Linked DNA regions of Tribolium castaneum. The protein of the gene in region 1 interacts with the protein of each later gene in a pairwise test. Links are inferred from orthologs where the notes say so. Each region holds a gene or a part of one and is shown on either strand. Other genes may lie near its edges. The genes, in order: G1/S-specific cyclin-D2 and eIF3k.

What was found.
Region 2: the proteins of G1/S-specific cyclin-D2 (region 1) and eIF3k interact in a two-hybrid assay, tested with the Homo sapiens proteins (2 studies listed by BioGRID and IntAct). The link is inferred for Tribolium castaneum from reciprocal best matches to the Homo sapiens genes CCND3 and EIF3K.

Annotation. Positions count from the first base shown.
Region 1 is NC_087402.1:8,521,921-8,531,876, forward strand, and holds the start of G1/S-specific cyclin-D2, read right to left. Parts: upstream 4,757-9,956; 5' UTR 4,625-4,756; coding exon 4,427-4,624; intron 4,368-4,426; coding exon 4,152-4,367; intron 262-4,151; coding exon 105-261; intron 1-104. Other genes in the region: uncharacterized protein ocm, read right to left, coding at 7,478-7,813, 7,857-8,063, 8,111-8,237, 8,284-9,956. UniProt on the Homo sapiens protein: Regulatory component of the cyclin D3-CDK4 (DC) complex that phosphorylates and inhibits members of the retinoblastoma (RB) protein family including RB1 and regulates the cell-cycle during G(1)/S transition.
Region 2 is NC_087402.1:8,159,071-8,167,477, reverse strand, and holds eIF3k (eukaryotic translation initiation factor 3 subunit K), read left to right. Parts: upstream 1-4,195; 5' UTR 4,196-4,302; coding exon 4,303-4,355; intron 4,356-4,415; coding exon 4,416-4,635; intron 4,636-4,687; coding exon 4,688-5,062; 3' UTR 5,063-5,107; downstream 5,108-8,407. Other genes in the region: Syx13 (syntaxin-12), read left to right, coding at 3,024-3,223, 3,270-3,676, 3,730-3,908; gem-associated protein 8, read left to right, coding at 5,651-5,660, 5,833-6,242. UniProt on the Homo sapiens protein: Component of the eukaryotic translation initiation factor 3 (eIF-3) complex, which is required for several steps in the initiation of protein synthesis.

The DNA.
Region 1 (9,956 bases):
AACGCATTTGTTTTTTCCTCCACTTCCTAATGTACTTTGACGGAAGCGGCTCATTTGCTCGCTATCTCGTCGAAGTTAATTGCTGAATGTCAGGTGTTTCTTACCTGTGTAACAGATGGAGACGAGGGTGTGCGCGTGCCTCCTCAACAAACTGCTTTCGCCGCCCCACGAACACCTCTCGATGATTTGATCGATGAAATCGAAGCCAGTAATCGCGGCGATATTCCATTTGAGTTTGGACAACACCAGGAGTTCCCAACTCTGCAAAAATAAAAACCGAAACTTGTATCAAGACCCTCTTAATTAATTATCATTTCACTCCCCCTCCCCACATTCCCACAGACGGGGTATTGTCTCGACACCCTCCTTAACGGCACATCACCCCAAGATGCTACGATTTTGCTCCGCTTTGTTCTCACGGGGCCACCAGATGACCATTCAAATTTGTCACAACGATGCGGTCGCCCCAGCACAATTAATGCTAATTTGTGGTCGTTGGAAACGCGACATACGCGGAAAATGCGCGCTGATAAGCGCATGCTGCACGATTTTATCGGGTTTGGAACCCACGACCCAGTTGGGCCCAAAATTCCCACAGGCAAATAAAAAATAAAATAAAGTATTAAAAAATAATGTATTAAATTTAAAAAACGGGCAGTGTAATTCGCCAAGGTCGGGGCAAACTGCCGACGCAATAAATTTACATAATAGCTGTTTTGTGATTAATTAATGCGTGCAGATGTTGCGAAAAATTCGTCGACTTTTTGCTGGCACAAATTGTCATTTTGGTTCTTCCTTTATCTAAACGAGCAGATGACGATAAAATCAGTTTGAATTCTCGAGCAACGTCTGTCTCCCGTCTAGACTCTCTAGGTCAGTTGGCAGAAGTTGCAAATTTCGGAAAAAACTCGTGGGAAACGTCCGTTTCTCCCCTATTTCCTTCCCAAAATCCTGCCTCAAATAATGATACAGAAAAACCCCCGAGAAACACTAACGACACGTCTTGTTCATGCTTGACTACGCGCGATGAGCTAATAATTTTATTAACGGTCACAAAGGTCACTTGTTGTGCACCCCATGTTCCCGTGTGAGAAAGCACCACCTTTTGTGATATATTCCAATCCGGGCCGTTTTGGACAAGTTAATAATAACCAGTCAAAAGGGGACAGACAAGGGTCCCAGAAAGGACCGGAACTGTAAATAAAGCTTCGGGTTCTTCCCATCCAGCTTCCGATTAAAGCGAGTGTAAAAAAGGATTCGAGAGCGTGAAACTAGTCGAGGATATCATCTTAACCTACAGGATTCAGGGTGGTTGCGCACCCCAACTGATTGCTTGCACCTAGTCGACCAATTTGCGGTCGGAATTTCGTCGCAGTTTACGGAAGCAACAATCAAAGTAATAACCGGACAATGGAGCGCTCGAGGCAAGCCATGTCTTCGAGGAGAGATGAGTAGATAATGGGTCCGGATATATGCAGTATTGTCTTAGTACTATCAAGAAATTTCGTATATCCTTAGATGTATGGTGGTGATTTGGTGAAAAGGAAATGGGAAATGACGGATGTTTGGACGGCACGAAGCGGTAGCGCGACAAAAGTTATTTGGCAAGATAATGATCGAAATGGGTTGATGCTCTGCTTCTTCCCTTAAAAGGGCACTTATTTTGACCAGAAAGAAATTGTGATTAAAGAAACACTAATCAAGTATAGTGTATTTATCAAACTTCGAGAAAGTTAATTAGTTTTAAGTAAAAACTCTCAAAAACTGTTGAAAATAACAGGTCAAATGCGTGTTGGAAATACAAAATATTAGGTTTCTGGATGTGAGAAACCAAAGTCTTCTATGTTTTTCAAAAAGTTTAAAAATCATTTTCTAGAAAAAAAACTCGTACAAACGACCCATCAGTTAAGGATGTTTCGGTCAATATTTGAATCGATCTTTCTATTGATAAGTAAAATTAAAAATATTTTATACCAACCAGTAAAAAATATAAATTCAAAAAAAAACATTTTTGTTGTTTTGATGCACGCGAGTTTCTCAAAAACCGATATTTTTTTACTAAAGATAAAGAAACTTGAATTTCACAATCTTGGGGCTTACAGTTAAATCTTGGAGGTGAACAATCAAGATTTTTCCGAGCTGAATACAGTAAAACCTCCATCAACCGAACTAATTAGGTATGGCAGAGTCGTCCGGACTATCACTTATCGAATTAAAAAAAAGTTCTTAATTAAAATACATAAACTATAAAATATATACTATAATAAGGGTGTGTTACCGAACAAAATTTTTTTCTTAATTAAAATGAATGAACAATGAAATATACAAAGTTTAAAGTAACGCATAAAATTCGTAATTCTTTTTTTTAATAAAAAAAAATGTAAAACAGGTAATTTACCATTTTAATTAGGCTTAAATCTGACCTACCTGGATAAATTATGGCGGACAATATGGCAGCCCTAAGACGTCATCATAATTTTTTTAATGAAACGATACCTTTTTTGTATAATTAGAAGCTGTACTAATAGTTCTTTACAACTGTGCTACTTATTTTGCATGTGGGTGAACCAAACGCGGAAAAAATTGAAATTTTTATAATTTTATATATTATATTTTATAAATTATAATCATAAAATTCATGTTTTAGTTATTTTTCTAAAATAAAATAAAAATGCCCAAACACGTAACTTAGTATTTTAATGGAGCTCAATTCTGACCTAACTGGAACACAGCGGCCAATTCATATACATTTTTTACTTTACTAATAAAAATTTTTTCGTGTTTGCTTCATTCACATTAAAAATAAGTAGCACAATTGCAAAGACCTACTAGTAGAACTTCCAATTATAAAAGAAAAATCATATCGTTCCATTTAAAAATTCTGTGACATTATGGTGCCGCGCCGCCATATTGGCCGCCATGACTCAGTCACGTCAAATATGAGCTCAATTAAAATGCTAGGTTACCTGTTTATAATTTTTGTAATAAAAAAAATATGAATTGTATACGTCGTTTTGTGGCAATGATTTCAAAAAATATATATTAAGGTTTCTTCATTCATATTAAAAATAAGTACCACACTTGTAAAGACCTATCGGTAGTGCTTCTAATTAAAAAAAAATGGTATCGTTCCATTTAAAAAATGCTAAATTATCTGTTTTTCATTTTGTTTATTTTTGAAAAATAAAAGAATGTAATTCTTTTAACTCACTCTGTGTAATTGTAAAGGGTGAGTTCTCTAAAAATACTTTATTTTTTGCTACCATATGCCATTTTTTACGAATTTTCTACACACAACATTTAAGCATTGCTTGTGCTCAGATAACATAAGAAATCATTTTTCGCAGCTACTTAATGTTAGTTAATTAATTTTCTTTTTGAATAAGGCACAGTAAAAATATCGAATACCTAAATTGTGCATGTTCCGAAAGTGAGTCACTTGTTTTTTTTTCGGATAATAGAAGTTTTACTGTAGCATTTTAAAGCTTACCCTAGCATCAACTCGAAAATCTAGGTGATTTAAAAATTTGTTTTAATTGTAGCTTTTAATATAAAAAACTAAAAATGTTTCGTAAAAAGTAATTCTAGATAATCCGTTTGTCCGAGTTAGAAGACAATCAATCCAATCCAATCATTACACAGTGGGCAAAACAATCCGAATATCAGCTGATCTTTTCCGATTAGACTTAGTTTTAGTTTAACTGTAGAAAAAATATACCCAGACAAATGACCTAACAACATCCTGCCTGTACATTGAAATCGTTCATATTTCGACGAAGAGAAAAAAGGAAAATAGGTTTTTTAAAACATTTAATTGGGTTTTATGAGCTTGACGCGGCATTCCTTTGATCGATCGAATCTTTCCTGACACGAGGCAACCAAAAGAATTCCATGGAAAGTGAAATAATCCGTACTGCAATTTGAACTTATCTCAGAGTCAAAAGTTACAAATGTCAACTCTCATCAGTAATTTATAACACAGAGCCTATTTCCGGGTGAAAAAAATACGAATTTCGCTATTTTTATCAACAATTCGTTCATTGAATAATTGACTCGTGTCAACAAAGACACCTCTGTTGGATGGTGTCGAGAGGAAGAATATTTTAACACGATGATTTGGTAACACAAGAGTTAAACAAATTCTGACTTACCACCAACATTTCGCTAGTGACACTGTAGTCGGTGTAGGCACAGAGCAGGTCAATGGGCAAAATATTCGTACTCCTGACTTTGGAGGCGATGAGGAGGCAAGTGGCCCCCAGGAGTTGTAACTGCTGCCTTCTGATAGGGCACACACAGAGAAACCGATCCATTAGATTAACCGCCAATGGAAGAATCTGGTCTTCACACATTTGTTCTTCACAGACCTGAAACGACCAATTTGAAATAACCAACCCCTCGCCCAAATGTGCAACGTCTCAATTACCTCCAGCATCCAAGTCGCTACAACTTTTCGCATAAAGGGTTCGATGTCGGTTTGAACGTTTTGAAAATAGTTAGTGTGGGGTGTGTACAACACTTCGTCGCTCAGTAGGTGTTTCATGACGCGAAAGTCGTTGAAGATGTTGGGGTCTTTGGGGGCGTAGGTCGGAGCGGTGATTTTTTCCGTACAAGCGAGATCCATGACACTACACTTCACGTGGTTTGCGCGCGTTTGAACGATCGACTACTCCTCTGCCTCTTGTAGTTCTTTCGCAACTGGTGGCAGCGGTGGCGAAGGAAAATTAATTATTGTTGTGATGGTGCACGTGGGGGGAAGGCGCAAGCGCGCTCAGGGAGTGCGACACCTGGGCTGTGGACAGGAAAGGACCTGCACTTCCAGTTTCGAGGTCTACCTGTATATAATCAGAGGAACATCTGCTACAATTTTTAATAAGCGCTCCATCATCCGAATTCCGTTTTTGTATCGCCTTCATCTACATAAGGTGTCAAGGAAAATCAATATTGACACCAGGTGAGGAGGATCTTGCGTCTTCACAATGTCACCTCACTTATTCAAAAAAAAAACACGCAAATTCCAAAAATTCAGTTTACATTTTAAAAATGCAAAAAGAAAACCATAGCAAAAATAAACAAAAAATTATACATTTTTAAAGTAATATGAAAACAAAAAGTTGTATTCTCAGTAATATAAAAGCAAAGTAAAAAATAATAATACGAAAATAAAATAGCAAAAAAACAATTATTGCTAAAGTAATAAATGTTGTAATTTTCTCTGTTTTTTAACAAAATCACAGTCAAAATTGATGCATACAATAAAAAAAACAATCTCTTAAGTAATCAATGGGGAGGGGGCTCAAAATTCATAAAGAATAACAATTAATAATACAAACGTCTTTGTCCTTCTTCTAAAGTTTTATTTTTTAATTTGCTAGATGTTTCGACCATTTATTATGTGGCCTCTTCAGGCATCAATTTAGAGTTCATTTTTTATCTGCACAAAATTATTAATAATAAAGACATTTAATTTATTTGTTTTAATAACAATTCAACTATTTGTTTGGTATATTTTGAGTGCACTTCGTAAAAAAATGATATTTTCACTGGAAAAAAGCTTGTAAAAAGCAAAACTAGCAACATTTTCGACTTAATTTGGCAATTTTTTGGTTTATTTTTATCGAAATTTCGCAATAAACAATTGCACTGTTGGACGAAAAACAAGATATTGTCGAAATAATGGCCCACATGTATTCGATTCAGGTTTTGTGATTTTTCAAACTCAAAAATACGATAAAGCGGCCAAAAAAGACAAAAATAACACCATTTAGATCGAAACTTTGCTGAATAATTGCGTTTGTGTAAGAAAAACTTGTTAATATAACGCAAACATTGTAAAATAATATTATTTTCGATTCAATTTATTAATTTTTCAGCCCAGTTTAGCAAAGTTTCGCAAAAACTGCATTTTTATCTAATTAATATGCCTCGATGCTAGAAACTTGCTGCGCTTTTTGAACTAATGTTAAGGTTGTTCGATTAATTTTTGACATTTTAATAAACAACTGTGTTTCTGACTGGAAATGTGTTAAAACACACAAAACAAGTGACTTTTGAAAATAAATCCGTCTTCGAGAAACAAGATAAAACCAATGAAAAAGGAAAAAATAAATGTTATTTTAACTTTTCGTTTTTTTTTGAGACGAAACTCCTTAAAATAATAATCGCATATCTGAATTTAAAAAAATCATGAAATTTGCAAAACAATTACGTTTTTGGACGAAAAACTATCCAAATATGTCGTCAAAATAATGGCATATTCGTTCAGGTTTTGTGATTTTTTAGCTCAAAAGCGGCCAAAAAAAGGCAAAAATAACACCATTTACGACCGAAACTTTGGTGAATAATTGCGTTTGTGAATGACAATGAGTGTTAATATAACGCAAACATTGTAAAATCATTTTATTTTCAATCCAATTTAATGATTTTTCAGCTCAGTTTAGCAAAATTTCGCATAAACGGCGTTTTCAAATTGTGCCAAAGCAACCAGAGCAATTTTATCGTAACTTTTGGAAATAAATCGGTTTCCAAAAAACAAAGTAAAACCCCTGAAAAAGAGAAAAACAAATATCATTTTGAGTCTTCGGCTTATTTTAGACGAAACTCCTCAAAATAAACGCATATTTGAATTGAAAAAATCATGCTAAACAGCCCAAAAATAAAAAATTATTGAAATTTTTTACCTTAACGCCCCAAAAAAGTAAAAAGTACATCATTAGACATATCTACTTCTAAAATTTTTCTGCGTATTTTTGATTAAAGTTACGAAATATAACAGCGTTTCGAAAAAAAGGATAAACAATAATTTTACCTAATTTAGTCAAAAAAACTGAGTTTTAACGTGATTAAGTGCTCGAAAAATACAAAAATAACACCACTTTCGACACAATTTCCCGAATTTTGAGCAATCTTGACGGAAAAAACCCTAGTTAAGTTATTGTAAATTATACCCACGTTTCAAAAGTAAGACTAAGGAGGCGGCAAAATGTAAATTGTTCCCAGACTTCGTAAAAACCTAGCGCGGCCCTCATACGTATTATCCTTTTGGTTGTAGAAAAAATATTTGTATGCACTGTTTGTTTTAAATTCTTGCACCCGCCTTCTGAAGCATCTAATGGACTGAATCACACACATGACCACTTTACCTCAGCAACCCCAACACGTCACCCCTTTAGTCATACATGAATTCCTCCACATGCTTTATCATCTCGCTTAATTCACTTTTAATTATCAGTCAATTTTGTGTAAGGGTTAGTAAAACTACAATTTGCTCGTAAACAAATTTATTCAATGAAACTAAACACTAATAATCACATTATTGCAGGGTCTTCCCACGTTACAAATACAAGAAAACTAATATATAAAAATTAATAACACAAACATCCAGTTCCAGTCTTCGATCACTTAAATCATTGTCAATGTGGGTGTGGATAATTAATTAGGTAGCTTCTTTACAACAATAAGTAACAATATTGGATTATCAAATAACTTTCTTTACAACTGGCATTCCGAGGTTTTTCACTGGCGATTGTTTGGCGTCTTTCTCTTTGAGTACTGATATATTCTGTTTCAGCACAAAACTTTTTCCTTTTTGTGCCGATTGCATTACGAATACTTTAGACACGTGGCGATCTTCATCATCGGAATCCGGAATCTCGATAGTTTCCGACACTTTACTGCTCATTTGATCGTCTCTTATTCCTCTCCGCAACAGTTTTATTCGTTGCATTTTGCTGCTAATCATCGATTTTAAATCGCTTTTTTCCGATTCGTAATTATCGGAGAGTTTCTCCTGGATGTAAATCTCGGTCCGCGCCTATCAAAAATCATTACGAAAGCTAAAGCAACGAAATACGTACCCATTGTATGATTTGTTGGGGCTCAGGGAACTTCCGCAACTCCTCGTTCGACATTAGGAACAAACCGAACAACTTGACAATTGATTCGTCATTTTCTAGAGATTCTTTATACGTTTGTAAAAGTGAGTCGAGCGACGGCACGTTACACTCTTGGAGCAGGTCTTCGGGAACACTCTCCTTCTCGTAGATACCAAACTCGCCGCAGAACTATTTTAAAGTTAAAAGATAGTTTCCTAAAATTTGCGCTAACTTACAAAGGGTCCAGGTTCGGTCAAATATCTGGCTTTGACCGGCGTGTTTGTCTTTAGGTCTAGCTGCGTCATTATTATAACATTGATTTTAAACGTTTGGGGGATGGGGCAGAAAATTTGGGACAAGTAGCTACAACCAAACGTTGGAAAATTGCAAATCTTCGTGAATTACTTACTGTATTAACAAATTTTTGGCAAGAGTCACGTTTGGAAACCGGTAACCTCTTGTATTGTTGGGCCAAAAGACCTCAATTTCTTTGCTGTCGCGCTGGCAAGCACCGAAATATCCCAAGTAAGGGATATTAGTAACGATGTATCTGTTAATACTGTGCTTCGCCTTCAACTCTTCGTCACTTAATGCTGTAACGAACGGTGGACAAAGCAGATTCCGGGATGAGGGTTCTGATGAAACGTCATTAGGGACCTCATCGTCTTCAGTTATGTCTATCACAAGTCCGTCGGGTATGCTGTTACGAGGTAGCGTTTCATAAAGCCAGACAGGGCTTCGTTCGTTAAATTTCTTCCCAATTATCTTATTGAACGTCTCAGTGTCGATCAACTTCCCTTGTAAATACCTCAACGTTTCAACATTGTGGTTCTCTGTTTTGAGGTAAGGACCCACAAAGATGCGGTCTTGGTGGTCAGGAACGCAAAAAATCCCAAACGTGTAAGTTTTATAAAACTGTCGGATCTCCTGATTGCGAAGCGTTATCGTTGATCTCACCGTACTTGCCATTTTCACAACATCCAACAAATCTGTGTATTTAATGGAGTAGTTTGATTTGGTAAAGTTGAGGTAACTGAAGTCGGAATTCAGATAAATCATCCTCCACCGACAAAACTTATGAACTCTTGGCAGTGGCACAATGAAATCATCCCCCGGACTGTCTTTATCGAAGTAAATCCGACGTTTGGGCACCTCTTTGATGGTCAAAACAAGAGTCTTCTTATGGTTGTGCATGTCTTTGTGTGTGCATTTCAAAGTTCTCTCCGGCACTAGAGCACTTGAGTTCGTATCGTCGGACAATTTTTTTGGTAGTCGCGAAGTGACTTCGTCCAAATCGTAAACATCACTCGCTGGTTTCGAAACCCCATCTTGCGAAGTAGAGCCACAATCAATTTCAATAGTCTCAGTGTCCCGGTGTGAGGACCGTCTTGGAAGTGGGAGCACGTTCACTTCCATTGCGCCCCCTGACACTGGTTTTATGGACGTAGTAGCTGTCTTGAGCTTTACCACAGGTTTCGACTTCGGTTTCAGTAACACCGACTTATACAGTCGCGAAAACTTAAACGTGCTGTGATTTTTAAGAAGGGAGTTTAGACTAAGATCGTCCGTTTTGCTACAATTGGTTTCGTAGCTGTCCACATTTGTTAGGAGATTCTCAAAACTGGTAGAAGCTTGTGTCTCTCTTGCTCCATGTCTAGCGGACAAATCTTCAGCTTTCTTTAAGCAGTAACCGGAAATCATGTAGTGGTTCTTCCTTGGCGATAATATGACGTGCATAAGGTGGCGAGGTATGTCGTCCGGTAAGGTGTTTGAGACGATCCAGTTGATAAATTCCGATTTATGTTTTAATCTTCTAATGTTGACGAAGTTTCTCGGTGGGAGATAACCGGCAGCGTTGCAGAGAATCGTTGTTCCACTTTCCTTCGCCCAAATGGACATTTTGCGGGTGTTGTAGTTTTTAATCAAGTTTGTCCATGGTAAAATTCGGAGGTACTCTAAGGAAGGTTGGTTGTGGACAAAAGGTATCAAGCATTGGTTTTCTTTGAGGGAAAGTTTGATTTCTCCGTCGAAAATACCATTATTTGCTTTCTGAAACTGTGTTTCCATTACTAGCTTCTTTTT
Region 2 (8,407 bases), about 360 kb from region 1:
TACCATATGAAAAACATTATGAGCCAAACCTCAGGCTTTCTTTTGTCACCCTTGTCAATAGATCGATTTAAAAGGAACCTGATGTTGCAGCGTCTGTTAACCGTTTTTCGTCTTCTTTGTATTTTCGATTAGGCTAAAGAAGGCGACCTTCAACCACGGCTAACGTACTACAAGACTGATTCAACGGTCTTCATGGAATTTCTCTACCAACACTCTGCAGGTTAATTGCCCAACGGACGTTGAGCTTGCGAGTATGAAAATTCTATTACGCTAAAAATATCGAGCCCATTTTCGAGTGGTTTTATTTTAAACCGATAATCGGACACTCTAAATAAAATTAGTCCCATTTTATCTGAAGCGAACGAAATCCTCTCCTTGGATGAACCACAAAATATTTATTTGGTAAAACCACCGATAAGTAGTGAGCAATAAGCACCCACGCAAATAAGTAAAATTTATTAACTGGCAAAATCATTGTGCATGGAAAAGAATAAGCGTGTGGGTTTGCCCATTGGGTTTGTACCACGGCATACCAATGGCATTTTTGAGTCTGATTTCCGAAAACACTTACCTGTTGTTAAAGGGGCTGTAATCCCAAATGAAAAATAAAACGGTAAAGCCAAATTTTAAGCGAAAATCGACATACCACTTTCACTAGATTCACTTTCTGCACTCTTTTGCTCGAAAAAAGCAAGAACACGGAGGAATTTCGGGTACAATACACGTTTGTTAAAGAAAGCAGTCACACAACGACCGTTTCGTCACGAAATGATCCCAGGTTGTAGCGTTTGAACAACCGCCCTACTCAATCCATATTATAGCCGGAGTCGCTTGCGTAGTAGAAGGCAACTGCCGGTGCATAGGAAGTGGAAATGCAGTTTTGGAGTTTTAGATGACTTCTTTAGAAAGTGTATTGTTACACCGAAGCTGTGGTTTCCCTGTGATTTAAACCCGCATGCGAGGGAAGCACTATAAGTCTTCCAAGCGAAATTTGATCAAATTCAGTGTTTGAACGGAAAGGAAGCATATTATCGCTTGGTAAAAAGCATTTACAACATTGTAAATATGTTTAGGTCTTTTAAAAAATATGGGAACACTGTGGTTACTTTCGATGCCGCTGCAAAGGCAACATAAATTTCAGTTTCAGCAGCCACTAGGTAGATACTTCCTTCAAAACTGGTTCCGTGTTAATGACATTGTCTCCGGTCCAACAAACTTATTATATAAACTCGATGAATATCATTCATTAACAATTTCCACACCATTTTTGAAAATTTGAAAAATGAATACGAAGGATAAATAAGGGAGCATCTATTTTCAGAAAAAGGAATAATTTGCAAAATAGCGATGAAATGTTCCATCTCTCCCAAACCAAGCTTTAGAAGCAACAAATAGTTTATTTATTATGTTTTAAACGTTTATGAGAAGTTTATTGATAAGTTCCACAATAACTGGATTAAGAAAATGTTGGAGCTTTAATGCCCATTTAATAACAATTTAAAAACTTGTACTTTTTTGCTATTTAGATAATTATTTTGTTCAAAATCAAAAATAGTTATTTTAGAATATAAATGAGTCAAAATTTTGGGTCTAACTTTTTGACTCTAATTTTTCGTTGCTTCTAATATCAAAAATGGTGAAGTCTGTTATTTTAATGTATTAATGTTTACATATTACGATTAGGTACGTTACTGAAACATAAAAAAGTGTTATCCGATATTATTAATTTTGAGCTCGCTTGTACTTAAGCTATGAGAATAAAAGTTGGGCTTTAACGACATTTTGGATTTTTATAGCCATTTTGGTATCTATTTAACCACACCTCAGTTTATCTTTTAAGTTGAAAAACTTACTCCTAGTTTTTTTGTAAAGCAGTGTAACTTATTTTACATCAGAAGATACGGGTTTTACGGGTTTCAAAAGTCAAAATTTTGGTACCCAGAGTGTTTTTCGGGAATAACTTACGAATTATTTGACGTAGTCCTATTATTTATTATTGTAGAAAAGCTCTTTTAATTATATAACCTTTTAAAAAAAGATCATTGTCCTGCGACTAACAGTTTTTGAGAAAATTGCCAATAAAAGCAAAAATAAGTAAAATTTATATGTGGTGATTTCTAAAAACTTGAAAACCATAAAGAATTTTGCAATTTGCTTGACGTCTATCGATTTTCCAAGTCATTTTACACAACCTTACATCGAAATAAGTAGTTTAATTTTTTCGATTTTTTTTTTTTTTCGAAACATACAAAAGCCAGATTTTGAAAATGTTGCAAAATCGGGCATTTTGTTTGAAAGAGATTATTAGGCCTCATATTTCATCGTAGTTTTTCTAGTGTCGCTACAAACAGCGTTTGAAAATTGAAATTATTTTTGTTCTAAAGAAATTCAAAATTAGAAAATTAAAACTTCCAGCTTTGTTTGTTCAAAAACAGTTTTTGTACTTTTATTTTGTATTTTTTCCGATTTTTGTGGGATGGGTCTAAAATTGTATAATAATAATAAGGACGTAGGTTCTTTAAGTAGGTAAATATTCTTAGATTAAGTCCAAACAGCTTTGTACTCTTTTGTAAGTGGAAATGTATCCAAAAGCAAGCTGTATATACAACCATCAATACACAAGTGTTGCAATGTTTTTTAAAACACAAATAAGATTTTTTTTACAAAATAGCAGGATTATGTGGTAGGGTCTTGTTATCATCTTTTTATATTACAGTTTGAAGTATTTTTTAATAAAAATCGAATCGGTAGGTATTCGGTAATTTTCAATTTTAAATTTAAGTTGCACCAACCTAACAAGATTTACAAAAATAATTTAGGGTGTGATTTTTTTAACATGTATTTTTAAAATGTGAGGTATTTCAATTATTCAACAATAAGCTAATTTTGTTTCATCCCCGAGGCCACAATTGAACTCACCCCCTTGTTATAACAATAAGTCACCTGATCTTTCCTACTCCTAACCTCAGTTTTAAGTTTACGAAACGTCAAATCACAAACGAAAAGGGGCGTCGAAGACAACAATGAGTAAACATCCCTACAATTACGGTGCTACTGCGTCCACTGACGTAGGTTTCATCGGTAAGCGCTCCCCCGAATTCAATAATTTATGCGATGGCGTCGTAACAAACATTTACACAATCAACTCAAGTCTCAAGACCTTAGACAACGCTTTAAAAACAATCGGAACCAGAAAAGACAATCAGGGATTAAGAAGTTCAATGTAAGTCTTTTCCCTTCTGGAATTTCAATCACTTCCCTAATTCTAGACACGTCACTCAATTGAGCACAAACCAGATCGCATCAGTCACAAGCAAAGACATTCACAAGCTCAAGCAACTTGTATCCAAAAGCGAGAAACAGCAGCAGTTGCAAGTAGAAAAGTTAGAAGAGAATTTTAAAGAAGCGATCACGCGCTACTATTCCTTACAAAAGGACTTGGCCAACAAGCAGAAATCACATTTATTGGTTTCTGTAAGCATAGAAAATGACTACACGCCGGAAGAAGACACAGAACAGCAACGGCAAGCTCAGCTTGCACGCGAAATGGCGTTTGAGCAAGATATGCTCATGGAGAGAGAAGCTAGGATTAAACAAATTGAAGCCGATGTACTTGATGTTAACGAAATCATGCGCGAATTGGGGTCCTTAGTGCACGCCCAAGCGGAAACAATCGGTATTGAGCTAACTTTTAAAAAAATCGGGAGATTAATCAACTCTTTTTTTAAGATACTATTGAAAATAGCATAGACCATGCAACTGGCAATGTGGAAGAAGCGACAGAACAGTTAATTACAGCAGCGAGTTATCAGAATAAGTATAGGCGCAAGTTGCTATTCATGGTACTGATAGGACTTGCAATAGTTGCAATAATTATTATAATACTAGTTGTACAGTTTAAAAAGTAGCTGCGTAATATTACTTTTCTTTATAATTACTCAAACCTGTTTTTGTGGTGAATAACTGCTTGATATATTTATATACAGTATACACAGACTTTTTATAGCAACTAATCTTATCATAGAATTTATATTTATTTATGTAATTATCTTAATCACAAAATATGAATGATATTTAGTTTTTTTGTATAATTATCCATAAAATTCTATGAGAACCGCAAAAAATAAGTAGTGACATGAAACACTCTGTAGTTAAAATGTAGGCAACACATAAAACAACAGTTCCCTATCGCTTACAGCGGCCTCTGTTCCAAAAACTTTGAATTTTAAACGTCATTAAGACGTGTTTTTTGAGAAAGTTGTGCTTTTTTCTCATTTTTTAGTGAAAAACAAATTGAAAACCATGGCCGAAGCAATGAAACAAACTGTGGCAGCAATGCTTAAAGGCATTGAACGGTATTGTTATTCTTTTATTACGTTTTTTTACCATGCATTGGACTTAACCTCTATTTTCAGGTACAACCCTGATAATTTACCGACTTTGGAGCACTACGTGGAGATACAATCGCGCGAAAATGCCTACGATTTAGAGGCTAACTTGGCCGTCCTTAAATTGTACCAATTTAACCCTAGTAGCTTCAATATCGACATCACAAGTCAAATCCTGCTCAAGGCTTTGACAAACCTTCCAAACACGAATTTTATTTTGTGCAAATGTCTTTTGAACGAACGACAGGTTAATAAATTCAGTCAATATATTTGTTTTGCAAAAAAAAAACATTTTTTAGCTGGCGGAAGAACCCATCAACCAAATTATCTACTTGGCCGACATTTTGGAACAGTGCGATTTTCAATTGTTCTGGACCAGAATCCACTCAATGCCAGAGTTGACCCAACGAATTACCGGATTTTTAGACTCAATCCGGAAATTTGTGTGTCACGTAGTTGGAATCACGTATCAGACCATTGAAAGGTCCCATTTGGCCGAATTATTGGGAGACGTTGATGACCTTACGTTGAAAGTCTGGGTCAATAAGTATGGATGGAAGGAACAGGGCCAGTTGATTTTCATTGCCAATCAAGACGAAAACATCAAAACTAAAAATATTAACGAGAAAATCGATTTCGAAAATGTCGGAGCCATTATGGCTTCATGTCGCTGATTTGTATTTTAATTTTTCAATAATAAAATAAAACTACTTCGTGTCTACGGACCTCTAAATGCTAGGATACGAAACGACCAAATAAATCGTCCCCGTCCTTGATAGTTCCGTTAATATCACCAGAGAGCGCAGTTACTTGAGTTTTCAGAGCAATGAACTTGAAAAAATGGTTGCATTTGTGTAATAGTTAACACACAGCAATAAAAAAATACAAGCAAATTGGGGATTAAATTTCAATAGTAAGACAAACAATGCAAAAATTTTATCGTAAATTATATTTTAAATAAATTAAAACTTTTGGCACTGTGTCCCATATTTTTCAAAAGGCTGCGAATACGCTTACAGATACAAAAAAGTGTAAGGAACAACGTTGTAAAGAATTAAATTTCCTATCAAAAAATTCGCGACACCATATCTTTGGCACTCAAACCGTTGATGGTCTCCCAGACTTTTTAAAGGAAAATATAAATTTCTTCCTTTTATTTTATATCTTGTTTCGTCTCCTACAGAAGTAATAATCTGTATTCGTGTGATTGTTTCGGATGGGAACCCCCTCTATGTACAGTCCTGCGAATGAAGTTATACAATATGGAAGATGGTTAGTTCTAGTGTTTCATGCCAAACTCTCAAGACCAGAGTTCGAAAAAAACACCGCAGGTCCTTTAAAAGTAATTTAAACCGGCGCTCTCGCAGAAAAAGTAGTTTATTGAGGTACTACAGTACGATACGATTTAAACCTAAGGCGGACGCTTTGTGTGCGGGTATTACAGTGGTTGATATTATTGGCATGGAGTGGACGCCTGTTTCGTCTCCGGCGACAGAGGTCGCTGAGTGGCACAAACAGGAGCAAGTTGCTTACTGGAAATCACGGGCTTTGAGCCTCGAATATGAAAATCAAATGTTAATTAGACACCTTCGTAATGTTTATGCGAAACAAACGGAGGATTATGCGAATTACGTGAAGGAGCAAGGGCAGATTGAAGATGCTCCCGTGGAAGCCGAAACGGGGCCCGTTGGGCGAAAAAGGCGGGAAGAGATGGACAAGTTGTATGGAAAAAAGGCCTCGAAGATAATGGGAATGGAGACGGCTGTTCAGTTGAATTACGACCTGCATTTGGAGGACGCTGGGAAGCTGGCGCATTGGCCCCACACCCCTTTAAATTTGAGATTTGATGCTTGATTATGTTAATAAAGTTTGGTATTAATTTTGCATTTGTTGGTTTTATTGAAGGAGAGAGCGTAATTACGGATCATCCTGAATTTAATCCCTTCGGTGATGATGTGATTGGCCGTGTAATTATGAAGATAATGACACATTCGTGTGCATTTTTATTATAATTTATTTTACATTAGAGACGAGTATTTTAGATTACACGCTTTTTCTCAGACTGACTTCAGACGTCGGTAATTAAAAAGAAATAAAACTTTTTACATTCCCTGTGCATAATTGAGCGTATTTAGATTTTGCATTGTTACATAAATAGACAATTGTGGTCAAATTATAGGAGGTATTTCCGGTTTTTACCACGCACGGACGACTTTTTTCAGCTTAAAAAAGATGTAGTTTGGAGATTCACTCGACGTGTGAACGTTTCGAAATGTGAAGAAATAAGATAAGGACGTGATACGAGACTCTTAAATTAATCGAACCGATAGAATCTAATTAATCCCAATGCCATCTCGGCCGTTAGAACAGCTTATGATGCGTGCCTCCATATATGAAGCTGCCCCATCCGTGTTGTTCTTGTGATCATAATTAGATTCGAATACGTACATTTTTTCCAACACACTAAATTAATCATCAATTTTATTTCGCAAACCGTTTTGTTTTCAACCAAAAATAACAAATTACTAAAATATTCAAAGTGCTATTTATGAATTTGAATCCTCATTTTAATTTCAAAGCGAGCTTATTTATTGGATACTTCTAAATTTATAACAATTTATTTATACCGAGGCACTTTCTTCCAGTGTACAGTTAACTACCTTGGAAAAATAGTTTATATATAAACAATATTTTATATTTGATTTCAGATTTACATAATTATGAATTTATTTCAATATTTAACTGTAACTTATTCACCCATATTTTGTTTCCACCAGGACAATGACTTGAATACTACGAATTGATTATCGCTTTATTGTTTCTAAAAATAATTGTAAACACGTGCAACTTGTTACAACTTATGTTTAAAAAGCAGAGATCGTACGTATCTACAGTTTTTTCTTTTATCTTTTATAAATTGCTTCAGATACACGTAGCCACAACATTTTTATGCATTACAAGCAGGCAACTTAGAAATGCCTTACAGGATGAGTGTCATAACATTCCTCAAGGGGGCATCTAACACCTGATTGAAGACATGCAGCGTAGAATTAAGAATTTGTGGAAGTAATTTAATAATGTACTCGTACCACCAAATGATAGGTTGGTATTTTCTATAAGAAGCTTAAAGGAAAGAAAAGTATTTATAAAATGTTTTTCTTTAGTCGAGGAAAGTTGCAATTTGTTGTGTTATTTTATAGGACGAAAAAAATATTTCGAAGTGATTCCAATGAGCGCGATTTTTGATATTTCGCTGTAAATAAGCTTTGTGGCGTTTTTCTATTTCGTCATCGCGCTTCATTAATCACATCACTGTTTTAAATCCACTTTTTCCGCTTCCCAGAATTCGATCGGTTTCTTTGGCCTTTCGTGGTCTATCGGTTAACTCGAAATTTTTTCGCCGGTGCAGCTTTTGTCGACTCATCCTCAGCGGCTCGGAAAAAGGCAAAAACTCGGAGAAATTTTTCACGGCGAAGAGAAAGGATCAGATAGGTGTACAGAGGGAAATTCCTCTAATTGCAAATAAATTTGTGTCGGGCATGGATCAGATAAGTTCTATCATATCGTTTAATTAGCGGAAACGAGCGTCGAGCTCTGTCCGTTTTCCAAAATTCGTCGTGCAAATAAATAAGCGTTGTGAGAACCGTAAATTCGGGACCGTCAGGTAATAATTTGGGCAGGTATACTGTTGTGTACAAGAAGTGATACGCTTCATTCATTCCATTGTGTGAAACCATCGGATTTTTGTGTGCTTTTGTAGCGCCGTTGGTTTCCTGTGTGTCGGGCCACTTTCATGACTCGATAAAAACTCATACGATTTCAGTTCTCTGAAATAATTAGTGTAATAACATGGACGCGGCACGCACGGACTCTACAACGAGAATGTTCTTAATAGTTTATATGGCATAGGGAAATCATACGTCTATTCCGAGGAGGAACGCGACGAAAGATACACAACTGTTGCACTCGCAACCAAGCTGACCACCTTTCCAGGACCGTAATAGGAAATTATTATTGGA